3 linked regions of the Oryzias latipes genome follow. The protein of the gene in region 1 interacts with the protein of each later gene in a biochemical or structural test. Links are inferred from orthologs where the notes say so. Each region holds a gene or a part of one and is shown in the gene's direction. Other genes may lie near its edges. The genes, in order: rnf4, sumo1 and ube2w.

Region 1 (4,127 bases):
AGTTGCATAGAAAACATATGTTTGCTTGTTATTCTAGCATAAATCCTTTAACAATTGATTCTGTCAGGTTAGGTTATATAGACAGTGTTTAAGTCCTAATGTTTAGTTCCCCAATCTGATATTTCAAGTCAGATTCCCCCTAGATATGAATAAATACACACCAACTTTTATTTTAAGAAATTAAAAGCTTTTATGCTCTGGCGGGCCACAGAAAATGACATGGTGGGCCTTGAGTTTGACACATGTTGTAGACCCTTGATGGCTCCACAGACGTTTACATTGGTGCAGCTGCAGGTTCTGAGATAGAGATGAGACAGTCTAACCAAACTCTTTGTTCTGATGTAACTAAGTTCTTTTTTTTCAGACTCTGGTCCTCTGCCCACTAGGGTCCCTGCTGTGTGAACACAGCTGAAGCGAGTTTCTTCAGTGTTTTGCAGTGACTAAGACATGATTTTTGGTCCTTCTACGCATGCACAGCAGGATGTTAACGAGACACGTCTTCAACGTTCACGCTGAGCTCAGACAGGAACCAGGAAAGGACAGAAACAGGATCTCAGCAGAGTTTAGTTTATATATGATAAACTGACAGAGGGGGAAAAGCTATTAAAAACAAAATACAAAACAAAAATATATTTTTCCATTAATGTATTTACAGAGCACCTAACTATCAAGGAGCAAGGGTAGAATCCAAGGTACTAAACATAAAAGACACAATCATAGGATGAAAGAAAAAAATCATGACACATCAAAGACTAAAAACATCAGAAGATGATTATAAAATGGTCAAACCGGTACGGCTGATGGTTTGAGAAGGTACCGTCTAGAATAATAGGGTAAAAATGTATAAGTGATAAATCAAAAAATACTCAAAGGCCAAATAAAAAAGTAAAAGACGTTTTGTAAATGCTAAATTAAAAAGATATCTTTAATTATTTTTTTTTTTTTTAAATTTACATTTCTAAAACTAAGGATAAAATCTGCTCTTGATTCACCACGATTTGGAAAAAAAATGCCTAGAAATGCTTTTTTATTCTTAGTTTTTTTTATATATGTTCATTTGCCCCATGATGAAAAAAAATGCCGCAAAAATATGTCAAAAACTCAAAACACCATTTTCCTTTGAGTGTTTTATTTTGGTAAACACAAGGTGACCTGTCCACACGGTGGCGCTGCAGCTTTCAGATCAGACGCAGCTGCAGAAGAAGAGCCCGCAGACCGGAAGTAGATAGAGGCCCACACTCCACTGTTCTCCCAGATGGTGTCAGTGGTCCTGAGTTCGGTTCTGACTCGGTCCAGACAGCGTGTATAGCCTCTACCAGACTCAGTTCTTCGGATAACACTTTTGGAGTAAAATAAGAGGCCGAAAAGGCGCCAAGCAGCAAACGACAGCAACATCAAACGGTAAGAGTCGAGAAAGAGATCACCGAAATGCTGGTGTTGTGACAGAAATGGTTTACTTTGGAAACCGGCTCCTCACGTGACTCTGTACGTCAGTTCTAACTGCAGCCAGCGGTGGTTGAATAACTGCTCCAATCACTCTGCACGTGTGTTCTTGTTAGCTTGTTCGAATGAGACGTTATGAAATAGTTTTTTGATATAAAAAGCAGATGAATAAATCATATAACTGAGGACAAATGACCAATTGTACCTGCTACGGAAAGCGTGTAGGCACAAAACAGAAGCTGAGGACAGGGAAACACTGCTGGTGCTGGATGGAGCTTTTTTCGTGGCGCGGTGGAAGATCAAACGTCTTTCTTCTGTGATTGTAGAGTACATGTTTTAAACCAATGGAGATTAATGCATTTTAACAAAATGTTTCAATGGGCCATGCCTGACATTCTCTTTGTATATCTTTCTATCATACAAAAGTCTGACATAATCCACCCCTAATCCTCCTTGTCTGACCAAACATTTCTAGTCCCTCACAGATGACAACAGAAGAAACTCTCCCGACGTTTGAAAAGCAGTCGCGACAGTTTGAAATGGGACAGTTTTAGTAATCTATTTATAAAAATAGATACCTTCTTTTGATCCATCCTCTGGAGGAGCGGCGAGTTGCAGAAACAGCAGTGCTCAGGAACCATTTGGGGGTTTAATCCTAACCTTAACCCTTCCTCTGGGTCCCTGCAGCTCCCGAAGGCCCGGCCCCCCGCAGCTTCCGAAGGCCCGGCCGCCCGCAGCTCCTGGACGGACATGAGTAGCTCTGTACGTCTGCATGCCTCTCTTCATCACGCCCTGTAATGATAAAGGAACGTCTGCTTTCCTCCATCATCATCTGGAAAAAAGCAGTTTCTGTGGAAGCTGCTCTGAGCTGCAGTCAGCAGTTTCCACCTAAAGCTTCTGTGGAGCAGTGGGTGGAGCTTCATTCTGACCACACTGAAAACTGGCAGCAGCTTTCCTTGCTTCAGTGATGCTCACTGTGACTGTTGTGAACCTGACTCCCAGGTGTCAGGTCAGCCTTTGAGCTCACCTGAGGTGGTTGAGGCCCTGCGTGTTCATGTGTTTTCAGGCCCAGAGGAAGAGAAGGCCCACCGAAAGTCCTCGGGTCTCCAGGCCCAGCATCAAGACCAGCAGAGTTGCTCAATCCAGGAGAGCGGTCAACCGGGGGACTCATACCGGTGCAGACTCCGCTCCCCCTGCCGAGACCATCGACGTGATGGACAACACGGACGACGGTCAGTGTGTCAGCCTCCGGGAGCCTTTTTTTTCCCCAGGATTCACTTGGAAATGGGGTTTAGGCTCATTTTAAACCTCTGCTCTGAGAGCACGGGTCTGCTGTAAGCTTCAGCTGGCTCTGTCTTCATCCTGTAGCACGGCAGTGGAAGTGTCATGGTCTGGAGACGCTTCCAGCAGAAGCTTTTCTTTTGAGGAAGATTCAGTCTGACCTCTAGACCCAAACACAGCAGCAGCTTCTCCTCAGGGATCAAAGCAGGTGGTTGTAGTGCTGCCTGGAGGTTCTGACGGCCTCGCTGTCCTCAGGTGTTTGTAACCGACGGCTGGTGTGTGCAGGTGTGGAGGAGGTGGTGGACCTTACCTGTGAGGGAGCAGAAGCTGCTGTGGTGGACCTGACCAACAACAACGACTCTGTGCTGGTAACACGCTCTGTCATTCATCATTCACTTTGGGGGGGGCTGTGGAAACGGGCTGTAAGCTGATGTTCTTCTCTTGTTCTTGTCTCTGCGCTCCAGCTGGTGGATGAGGGTAAGTCCTCCTGGACCTCAGTGTGTGTCACCAGGTCATCTGAGGGTCACCTGACCTTCTGTTTGTGTTAGATCCTCAGAGCAGCACAGTCCCTGCAGGTGAGAGCTACGTCCTGAGCAGTGATGAAGATGAGGACACGCCCCTTTTCAGCAGCGCCGCCACCGCGGCGGCCGCACATGCATCAAGGTGAAGAACCGAACTCTGCGCCTGCGTTTAGTTCAGGGGAGTTGGGAGCGTCCCGGTGTGCACGCTCGACGGGGGAGCGTGCACACCAAAGCTCCCCCGAATCCATAGAGGTCACAGTAAATGTTGTGGTGATATTTAGAAAGGGATGAGCGGAGTGTGAACTCAAAACAGGAGGGTGGAGAACACAGACGGACTCACATCAGTTTGAGTAGGGCTCATGGTTCTGCAGAACCAGGACAGAAAGCAGCAAAGCTCCTCAGGTTCTTGAAGTAAAAGTCACTGGGTTCTTGTTGGGTTTCAGGTCGACGCCAGGCCTGATCAGCTGTCCGGTCTGTCTGGATCTGTACTCTGAGGTAAGAGAAATGCACGGGTGAGAGGCATGAACGAACCTGCCTTTGAAGTCTGAACCAGAACCCGTTTAAAGAACTAAAAACTCGGCATCTAAAGAGAACCTTTGTCTCATGGAAAGGTAACGTTTAGAAAAACAGCAGAAATGCAGACAGCTGTCCACCTGTGAAAGCAATCTATTCTCTTCCTAACTTTGTTCCTCTTGATGCTGTGAGAACAGCAGCTTGGCTCATAAAAGTGTTTCTCAGAACCTTCTGACTCCCGAGTCCAGAACCAGTTCCAGCTGAGCAGAGCCTGATGGCTGAAGGTTCTGCTTCTGTTTTAGTGTCAGACATTTCTAGATCCTCCAGAGGTCCTTTAGCCTGAGCAGAGTTCTGCATGGGAACAGAAGA
Region 2 (3,845 bases), on another chromosome or scaffold:
AAAGTTAGAATATTGAAGATTACATCAAATCAAACTTTATTTATATAGCTCTTTTCCTACAAAAGCACAACCGAACGTGCTTTGCACCAATACAAAATAAATAAATAATATAAAAACAAACACGAAAACTATATATACATTTAAAAAACGCCTCTCTCACCCTCCGCGGGTGGTTTCTCCTCCAAGCTCGGGTCCTCTACCAGAGGCCTGGGAGCTTGAGGGTCCTGCAGTATCTTAGCTGTTCCTAGCACTGCGCTTTTCTGGACTGAGAGGTCTGAGGTCTTTCCAGGGATCTGTTGTAGCCACTCCTCCAGCTTGGGGGTTACTGCCCCGAGTGCTCCAATTACCACAGGCACCACTGTCACATTCACTTTCCATGCTTTCTCCAGTTCTTCTCTGAGTCCCTGGTATTTCTCCAGTTTCTCATGTTCCTTCTTCCTGATGTTCCCATCGCTTGGCACTGCCACATCCACCACAACGGCTTTCCTCTGTTCTTTATCCACCACTACAATGTCTGGTTGGTTCGCCATTACCATCCTATCAGTCTGGATCTGGAAGTCCCACAGGATTTTTGCCCTCTCATTCTCTACCACCTTCGGAGGTGTTTCCCATTTTGACCTTGGGGTTTCCAGTCCATATTCTGCACACATGTTCCTGTATATTATTCCAGCTGCTTGATTGTGGTGCTCCATGTATGCTTTCCCTGCCAGCATCTTACACCCTGCAGTTATGTGCTGGATTGTTTCAGGCGCTTATTTGCACAGCCTACACCTTGGGTCTTGTCTGGTGTGGTAGATCTGAGCCTCTATTGCTCTGGTGCTCAGGGCTTGTTCCTGAGCTGCCAGGAGGAGCGCATCAGTGCTGTCCTGTAGGCCAGCCCTCTCTAGCCATTGGTAGGACTTCTTGATATCAGCCACTTCAGTTATGGTCCGGTGGTACGTCCCATGCAGGGGTTTGTCTTCCCATGAGGATCTGTCCTCCAGCACTGTATCCTCTGCTCTCCATTGCCTGAGACATTCACTGAGCACACTGTCGGCTGTCGACTGTTTCATCCTCTCTCTCTCTCTCTCTCTCTCTCTCTCTCTCTCTCTCTCTCTCTCTCTCTCTCTCTCTCTCTCTCTCTCTCTATATATATATAGTTATTTATTAAATTATCATAAAATGCTATTTTTTAAGCCCATGTTAAAAATATATAAATTTAATCTAAACATATATATTGCATTTGAATATTGAACAGGAGTAAAGACTTCATAATACTGGAAAAGGCAAGGTTTTTGTATGAGTGTGTGTGTGTGTGTGCGCGCGCGCGCTTTTCTTATGGAGACAATCCGCTACAAAACAAATTCCTTCACGCGACTTTTATTTTGAACAGCCCTGCGTCACTTCCGTTTGATGTCGCATTCCTCACAACATAAAGCAAGAGCCACCGCTAAAAGCTAACGCTACACCTTGAAGGGATTCCCTCCCCCTCCCGCACACAGTCAGGATAAACATGTCAGACACGGTAAGAAAAAGAACGTTGAAGAGTTCGAATGATTTTCTGTCAACACTTTACTAAGAAATCGATAATGTGTTTGTTATGGACGCTGCCTCGTACGTGATTATCTAACAACATGCTAACCGTTAGCTGTTCTAGCTGCAGGCCTCTGACTGAACTTAGCGATTTTTTTTTACCCTCCACGTGAGCTTTTGTGTAGTTTTTTGAGATTTTTTTTTGGGGGGGGGGTCAGAACTGGTGCTGGCGGGACCGAACCCACACTCGTGTCTATGGTGGATGTTCTCTGTGTTCGTGGAACCCGCGGAGTAAACAGACGGGCCTTCCTCGAAAGCGTGCTAGCGGTCGCATCATGTAGCAATGTTTTGTGATGTTTCTGTCAGGAGACGAAACCTTCCAATCAGGACGGAGGCGACAAGAAAGATGGAGAGTACATCAAACTAAAAGTGATCGGTCAGGTAGGTTGTTTTTGTGTCTCTGCTTTTGTTGTCACTACTGTCTGCATTTAGAAATAAACCGTATTCTACTCCATTTCAAATAAAGTTATGGCACGTGGTGGTGTCTCTATTATTGTTTATAGAAGGCTATTATTTTTGGTCAATGATTCTGCCAATTCTTTATCATTTACAGATGTATTCGTTTTAATGCTGGAAGTTGTTATTGTTTTTGAGCTGCATCACCTTTTTGTGTGTGTCCGTTTCTGCCCACAGGACAGCAGTGAAATCCACTTCAAGGTGAAAATGACCACACATCTAAAGAAGCTGAAAGAGTCTTACAGCCAGAGACAGGTATGAAGAGGAAGACGCATCGCCACTTTTCCAATGACAGCCTTCGCAGATCCATCCAAATGCAGTTCCTTATGGTAGAACACGCCATTATTTAAAAAAAAGATAACTCTGATCATCTTTTGATCTATTGCAAAAAATAAAAAGTTCCTAGTGATTTTTATTTATTTTTTTGACACGCTCTCCCGCTAGCTTACTAAGACTCCCAAGCTAATATTAGCAGTGCAACAAAAATGGCGAGCAATATCGGAGCTATCCAGCTGCACAGTTTGGATCCGGATGCTCGGACGAGGAAAATAAAAAAAAGTTACACGAGTCTATTTGTCTGCAAGGGAGCCTTGTGGCTTGCCGTAGTAGCTTTGGAATCATACCTGCAACCTTTTTCCAACTAAGTTTAATTTTGTCTGCTCCTGATTCACAACGATTTTAAATATAAAAAAAAAATAACCCAATTTTAAATGTAATTTTAAGCTTAATTTTCTTTAACCCTTGTGCTATCCTAGGCCCTTTAACATTAGGAGTTGGGTCATCTAGACCCACTAGACAGTGCGCTTAACCTTTCTTCTTCAATGATTTGTGATCTTCACTGGTGTCCATGGATTACATGAAATCTTTCCACTTTTGTCATGGTAGGGAGAACACGTCAATGTAAGGGTGGGGTCATCTAAGATAGCATAAGGGTTACACCTAAAAGCTCGTCTATGTAATCGTTACTCGTGCTCCTAGCGCCTCGCGGCGGCGTTCAAGGAGAGCTGATTGAAGGAAAAATAAAAATCTCCTAATGGTCTAACAGCAGAGGATGACGTTTCTTTCAGGGAGTCCTGGCGAGCACGCTACGGTTTCTTTTTGAGGGACAGAGAATCGCAGATAACCAAACCCCAAAAGAGGTAAGCGACACTCGCAAGAGCGAAAACCAAGCACTAGTGGTCACTAAGGTTTGTGTTTTCTTCTGTTTTTTTATAGCTGGGCATGGAGGATGAGGACGTCATCGAAGTTTATCAAGAACAGACCGGCGGACTTTGGAATCATTAAAGCCACAATTTCTGATGTTTTTTTTTCTTCTTTTTTTTCCCCTTTTATTCATGTTTTTTATCATTTGGTTTTGTATGTATGTATGTATTTCTGTTAAGTTTCAAACCATCTGAATCAAAAAAGCAAAAGGACTCAATCAGGGCTTCCATGTGTGCGGTCGGGGAGGCGGACAGACCGAGGACTCGAACCTGTGGCTCTGCCGTCGGAGGACACTCTAAGATTTTTACCGGCAACCATTTCGCTTTCGTGTTTTAAATTTTTATTTTATCAACCTTGCTGGAATGATGTGCTTTTGCAGGAAAATGGTTTTTAGGAGCTTCTTCCTCCCCAAAATGTTTTTTAAAATTGTCTCATAGAGGAAATATGTCAGATGGCATTCTGGGTAAGTGCGGTTACAGAAACCGTAAAAAGAAACCGATCAGAAGCATACCAGAGCGGCATGCTTCTGATCTTTCCATCTATTCAAAACAAAAAAAGTTGTTTTCCTGGAACGGACCAAAGCGTCTGTCCAAATGAAGGGGGGCGGGGCTAAA
Region 3 (3,559 bases), on another chromosome or scaffold:
TCTTTGCCATATTTTCACTGCATTATAATCTTTCTGCCTCCTTTACTGACCTTTTATATGAACAGCTGATCTCTTGAACTTAATCCTATAGCCTAATGTTTCTCCAGAAAGTAGTTGTAATAATAATCGAGTTTTTTTAAACTAAAGTAAGAAAAAATAACTTTTCCTTACTTTACTTGTTTGATCGTGAACAGGCCTTCATTCCGTATTAAGTTAGGAAAAACTGCGTTCATCTTTGTTTGTCACTTATAACTTTGAGTACTGTAACCTGTCTTTCCTCTGCGCAGGTGATGTTCACAGGGGAGAATATACCTGTTCATCCGCATGTGTATAGCAACGGTCACATCTGTTTATCTATTCTGACAGAAGATTGGTCACCAGCGCTCTCAGTGCAATCTGTTTGTCTTAGCATTATCAGCATGTTGTCCAGCTGCAAAGAAAAGGTAAGTAGTTGAACGCAGAAGTTCCTGTTCTTCCTGTTCTTCACCTCTTGGACATTTTTATTTATCTATTTTTATTTTTTTGGCAGAGACGGCCACCAGATAACTCTTTTTATGTAAGAACGTGTAACAAAAATCCAAAGAAAACAAAATGGTGGTATCATGGTGAGTACTTTGTCACTACTTTTTTGATTATAAATTTTTTTTTATCAATTTTAAACTGGCTTTCTTGTACTTTTCCCTCCACAGATGATACTTGCTAATGTACAAACTTTCTATTAATGGTAGAAGACGCAGCCCTACTGACCTACATGAAGCACTTTTTAATCCTTCAGTCTTTGAACTCTGACTTGTGACTGGAACATTGGAAACCAAGCGCAGGACTGCCTATCCCCCCCACCCCACCCCACCCCCCACCGTGGACAGTCGGCTGCATGTTTTTAGTTTGCTGTAACATAGAAAGTGGAAGTAAATGAACATTTGGATGCACCCACACAATATGGTTTGTGGCGAGACAGCCACAGTGCAGCGAGCAGGAAAGGAAGAGTTGTGGTGAGCTAATTATAATTCCTGTTTTAAGATTATTGTTACTTTTTTTTCCGTTTGTATTTAGGTGCATTTTAGGGTTTTGTGTCGTGCAATAATAACTGATGGATGCATGCTTGGGCCTACAAAGACAAAAATCCAAATCCAGTCATCATCTTGAAGGAGTCTAACCATCAAAACCCCAAGAAAATGCATCATCCGTTTAGTTTTTTTTCTCCTTTCACTATCATTGTTATGCACTGTGAAATGATTTAGTTTCAAAGAACCTGTGCACATTTATCCCCCCAACTTGCAGATGTACTGTAAGAAATCCTCCACCTATTTATCAGGTTTAAGGCTTTTAGTTTCAAAGTACAAACAGTTTCCACCTTGACACCTGATGGCAGTTCTTCCTGCTGTTGTTGCTACAGATGGAACTAAAGTGATATTAGATCTAAAGTTATTTAATGACCTCACTGTACATCTCCACTCGTGGTTCGGGGTAGTTGTCAGTAGTCCAGCCTTCAAGATGTGCAGCAGCTTATCTTCCATTTAAAGAATGTCTGTAGGGAAACATTGTTGCAGGATTCTTTTTTGTTTTTTAATTTGTACAATACTTTTTTTAAATATAGGCTTTAATTTTTTCTTCCTCTAAACTATTTGATTTTAAGTGTATGTTTTTTTTTGTATTCTTGTTTTGCCCTTAGCCGATACTTTAAATGGGGGATTATAGTAACAATTGAGGGTTCTTGTTTTTTTTTTATTTCTTTCCTAATTGTTACTTAATTGAAATCCTCATTTGATCTCCAGTGCAGCAGTGAATGATAAAATGAGGCTTTGTTGGAGTTGTATAGAGAAGGCATTTGTGATTTTTTTTTCTTTTTTTTTTTTTTTCTTCCCCTCCTGGTCAGAGTTGTGACTCAGGTACTTTTTCAATAAAGAGATCACCTCTAAAAAAAAACAACAAAAAAAAGAGAGAAAACTATCGTATATTTTGAATTAAACTATATTTGCACCAAAAGAGACTGTTATGCTGTAAACTTATAACATGTCTAAAACTCTTGTATGCTTTAGAACTATTGGATGATGTGAAAAGGTTTGGCAGATGGTACATTAACTTCCTAGCTGAGGGATGAGATGAGTGCTTATTTTACTGAAAATTAGTCGACATCGACATCTTTCACTACATTTTTTGCTGCGTACAGTCAGCGATAAACTTGTACTATAGGGGCGCATGCAGTTTTGATATTCTGATTTTGACACTAGACTTTCCAGAAAGTAGATGAGTCGTTGGGGGGGTATTACTACACTTCCAACCAGAGGATTTGGTCAATTCAGGCTGTAATCACTCCATTCCTCAAGCAAATGTTTATCACCATCCAGTCGGAGATACTTGAATTTTCCTTCTATTTTTTTGTATTTATGCCTACTTTTTTCCTCCCGTCGCCTGGTGTTCTTCCTTGATTGAACTAGAGTGAATGTGACTATAATCTTTATTGTACAAGCAGTTAAAACAGCACACATTGTTCTAGAAATTATATAGATAACTTAAAGACTCTTGAATTTTTTTTTCTTTGCTTTTCTGCAGTGGGTGTTGTCCAATGTGTAAATGCAGTCATGAAAGCATTCGTGCAACAAGCAGTAGATCAAAGGACATCTTCATCTGTTGGGAGTGATTATGTTACAAGGGTTTGGATGTGATTTCTTTATTTTTATTTTTAAAACAATGCTACCCCCTTTTTTTTATTTAATTTGTTGTTTTCAATGTGGGTTTGGACTCTTAGCTTGCAGACTCTTATGAGTGAAAACACTAATGAGGGTGAGTTATTTATATTTAAAATGTTATTTTGGGATGTGCAAGCTCCATGTAATAGGTGCCTGTTCATTTTCATAATCAATAAAAGCAAAGATTCACTTTTATTCAACATTTGGTTTGCACCAAAACATGACAGTGTCTTTTGTGTCTTCTGTAATTCTTTTTTTTGTTTTTTCCAAAATTGGGTCAAATCCTTTGACAGTGATTCTTGGAAGATGCATCAAAAATTTTCCCAGAGTACAGAGTGCCTTGTTTTTGTTGTCTGTCAGCTTTCGGCCGCTTTCAACCAAAACTCCCAACAATCAATCAGTCATAATCCCTTTGTACAATAGTGAATATTTACAACAGCCTCATTCACCCCCCCCCCCCCCCCCCTTTAGGTTGTTTTAGAGTTGTTTTAACCTGTGATACTCCAAAAGAACCTTAATAAATGAGATATTTTCTACAACATAAAATGGCTTTACAAATACAAATGTCCTTATGATGTGCTGTTCTTTTTTCCCCAAATTAAAATGTTTCACATTTTAATTTTTTCATTCATAGTTCTTAGGAGAAAAAAACATTCAATGGTAATCGTGAGCACAATGAATCACATCTGTGTAAATTAAAGATTCAGGTTGCTTTGCACTTGTTTTTTATTTATATATATATTTATATATATACATACAAATATTTATCTCGACAGTAACTTGGGGAAATATAACCTGAACAAGTCGCGCCCTCTTGTGGTTGTTTGCAATACTACGCCAAAGTTTAACACTGAATTACAAACACATAA

The links.
Region 2: the proteins of rnf4 (region 1) and sumo1 form a complex in vitro, tested with the Homo sapiens proteins (5 studies listed by BioGRID, with this or other methods). The link is inferred for Oryzias latipes from reciprocal best matches to the Homo sapiens genes RNF4 and SUMO1.
Region 3: the proteins of rnf4 (region 1) and ube2w form a complex in vitro, tested with the Homo sapiens proteins (2 studies listed by BioGRID). The link is inferred for Oryzias latipes from reciprocal best matches to the Homo sapiens genes RNF4 and UBE2W.

What each region holds. Positions count from the first base shown.
Region 1 is NC_019868.2:3,826,087-3,830,213, reverse strand, and holds the start of rnf4 (E3 ubiquitin-protein ligase RNF4), read left to right. Parts: upstream 1-1,197; 5' UTR 1,198-1,401; intron 1,402-2,130; 5' UTR 2,131-2,193; coding exon 2,194-2,205; intron 2,206-2,509; coding exon 2,510-2,675; intron 2,676-3,009; coding exon 3,010-3,092; intron 3,093-3,188; coding exon 3,189-3,201; intron 3,202-3,272; coding exon 3,273-3,387; intron 3,388-3,688; coding exon 3,689-3,740; intron 3,741-4,127. UniProt on the Homo sapiens protein: E3 ubiquitin-protein ligase which binds polysumoylated chains covalently attached to proteins and mediates 'Lys-6'-, 'Lys-11'-, 'Lys-48'- and 'Lys-63'-linked polyubiquitination of those substrates and their subsequent targeting to the proteasome for degradation.
Region 2 is NC_019860.2:9,899,740-9,903,584, reverse strand, and holds sumo1 (small ubiquitin-related modifier 1), read left to right. Parts: upstream 1-1,471; 5' UTR 1,472-1,492; coding exon 1,493-1,504; intron 1,505-1,878; coding exon 1,879-1,953; intron 1,954-2,205; coding exon 2,206-2,283; intron 2,284-3,095; coding exon 3,096-3,167; intron 3,168-3,243; coding exon 3,244-3,312; 3' UTR 3,313-3,333; downstream 3,334-3,845. UniProt on the Homo sapiens protein: Ubiquitin-like protein that can be covalently attached to proteins as a monomer or a lysine-linked polymer.
Region 3 is NC_019878.2:16,095,054-16,098,612, forward strand, and holds the end of ube2w (ubiquitin-conjugating enzyme E2 W), read left to right. Parts: intron 1-287; coding exon 288-443; intron 444-529; coding exon 530-605; intron 606-689; coding exon 690-703; 3' UTR 704-2,911; downstream 2,912-3,559. UniProt on the Homo sapiens protein: Accepts ubiquitin from the E1 complex and catalyzes its covalent attachment to other proteins.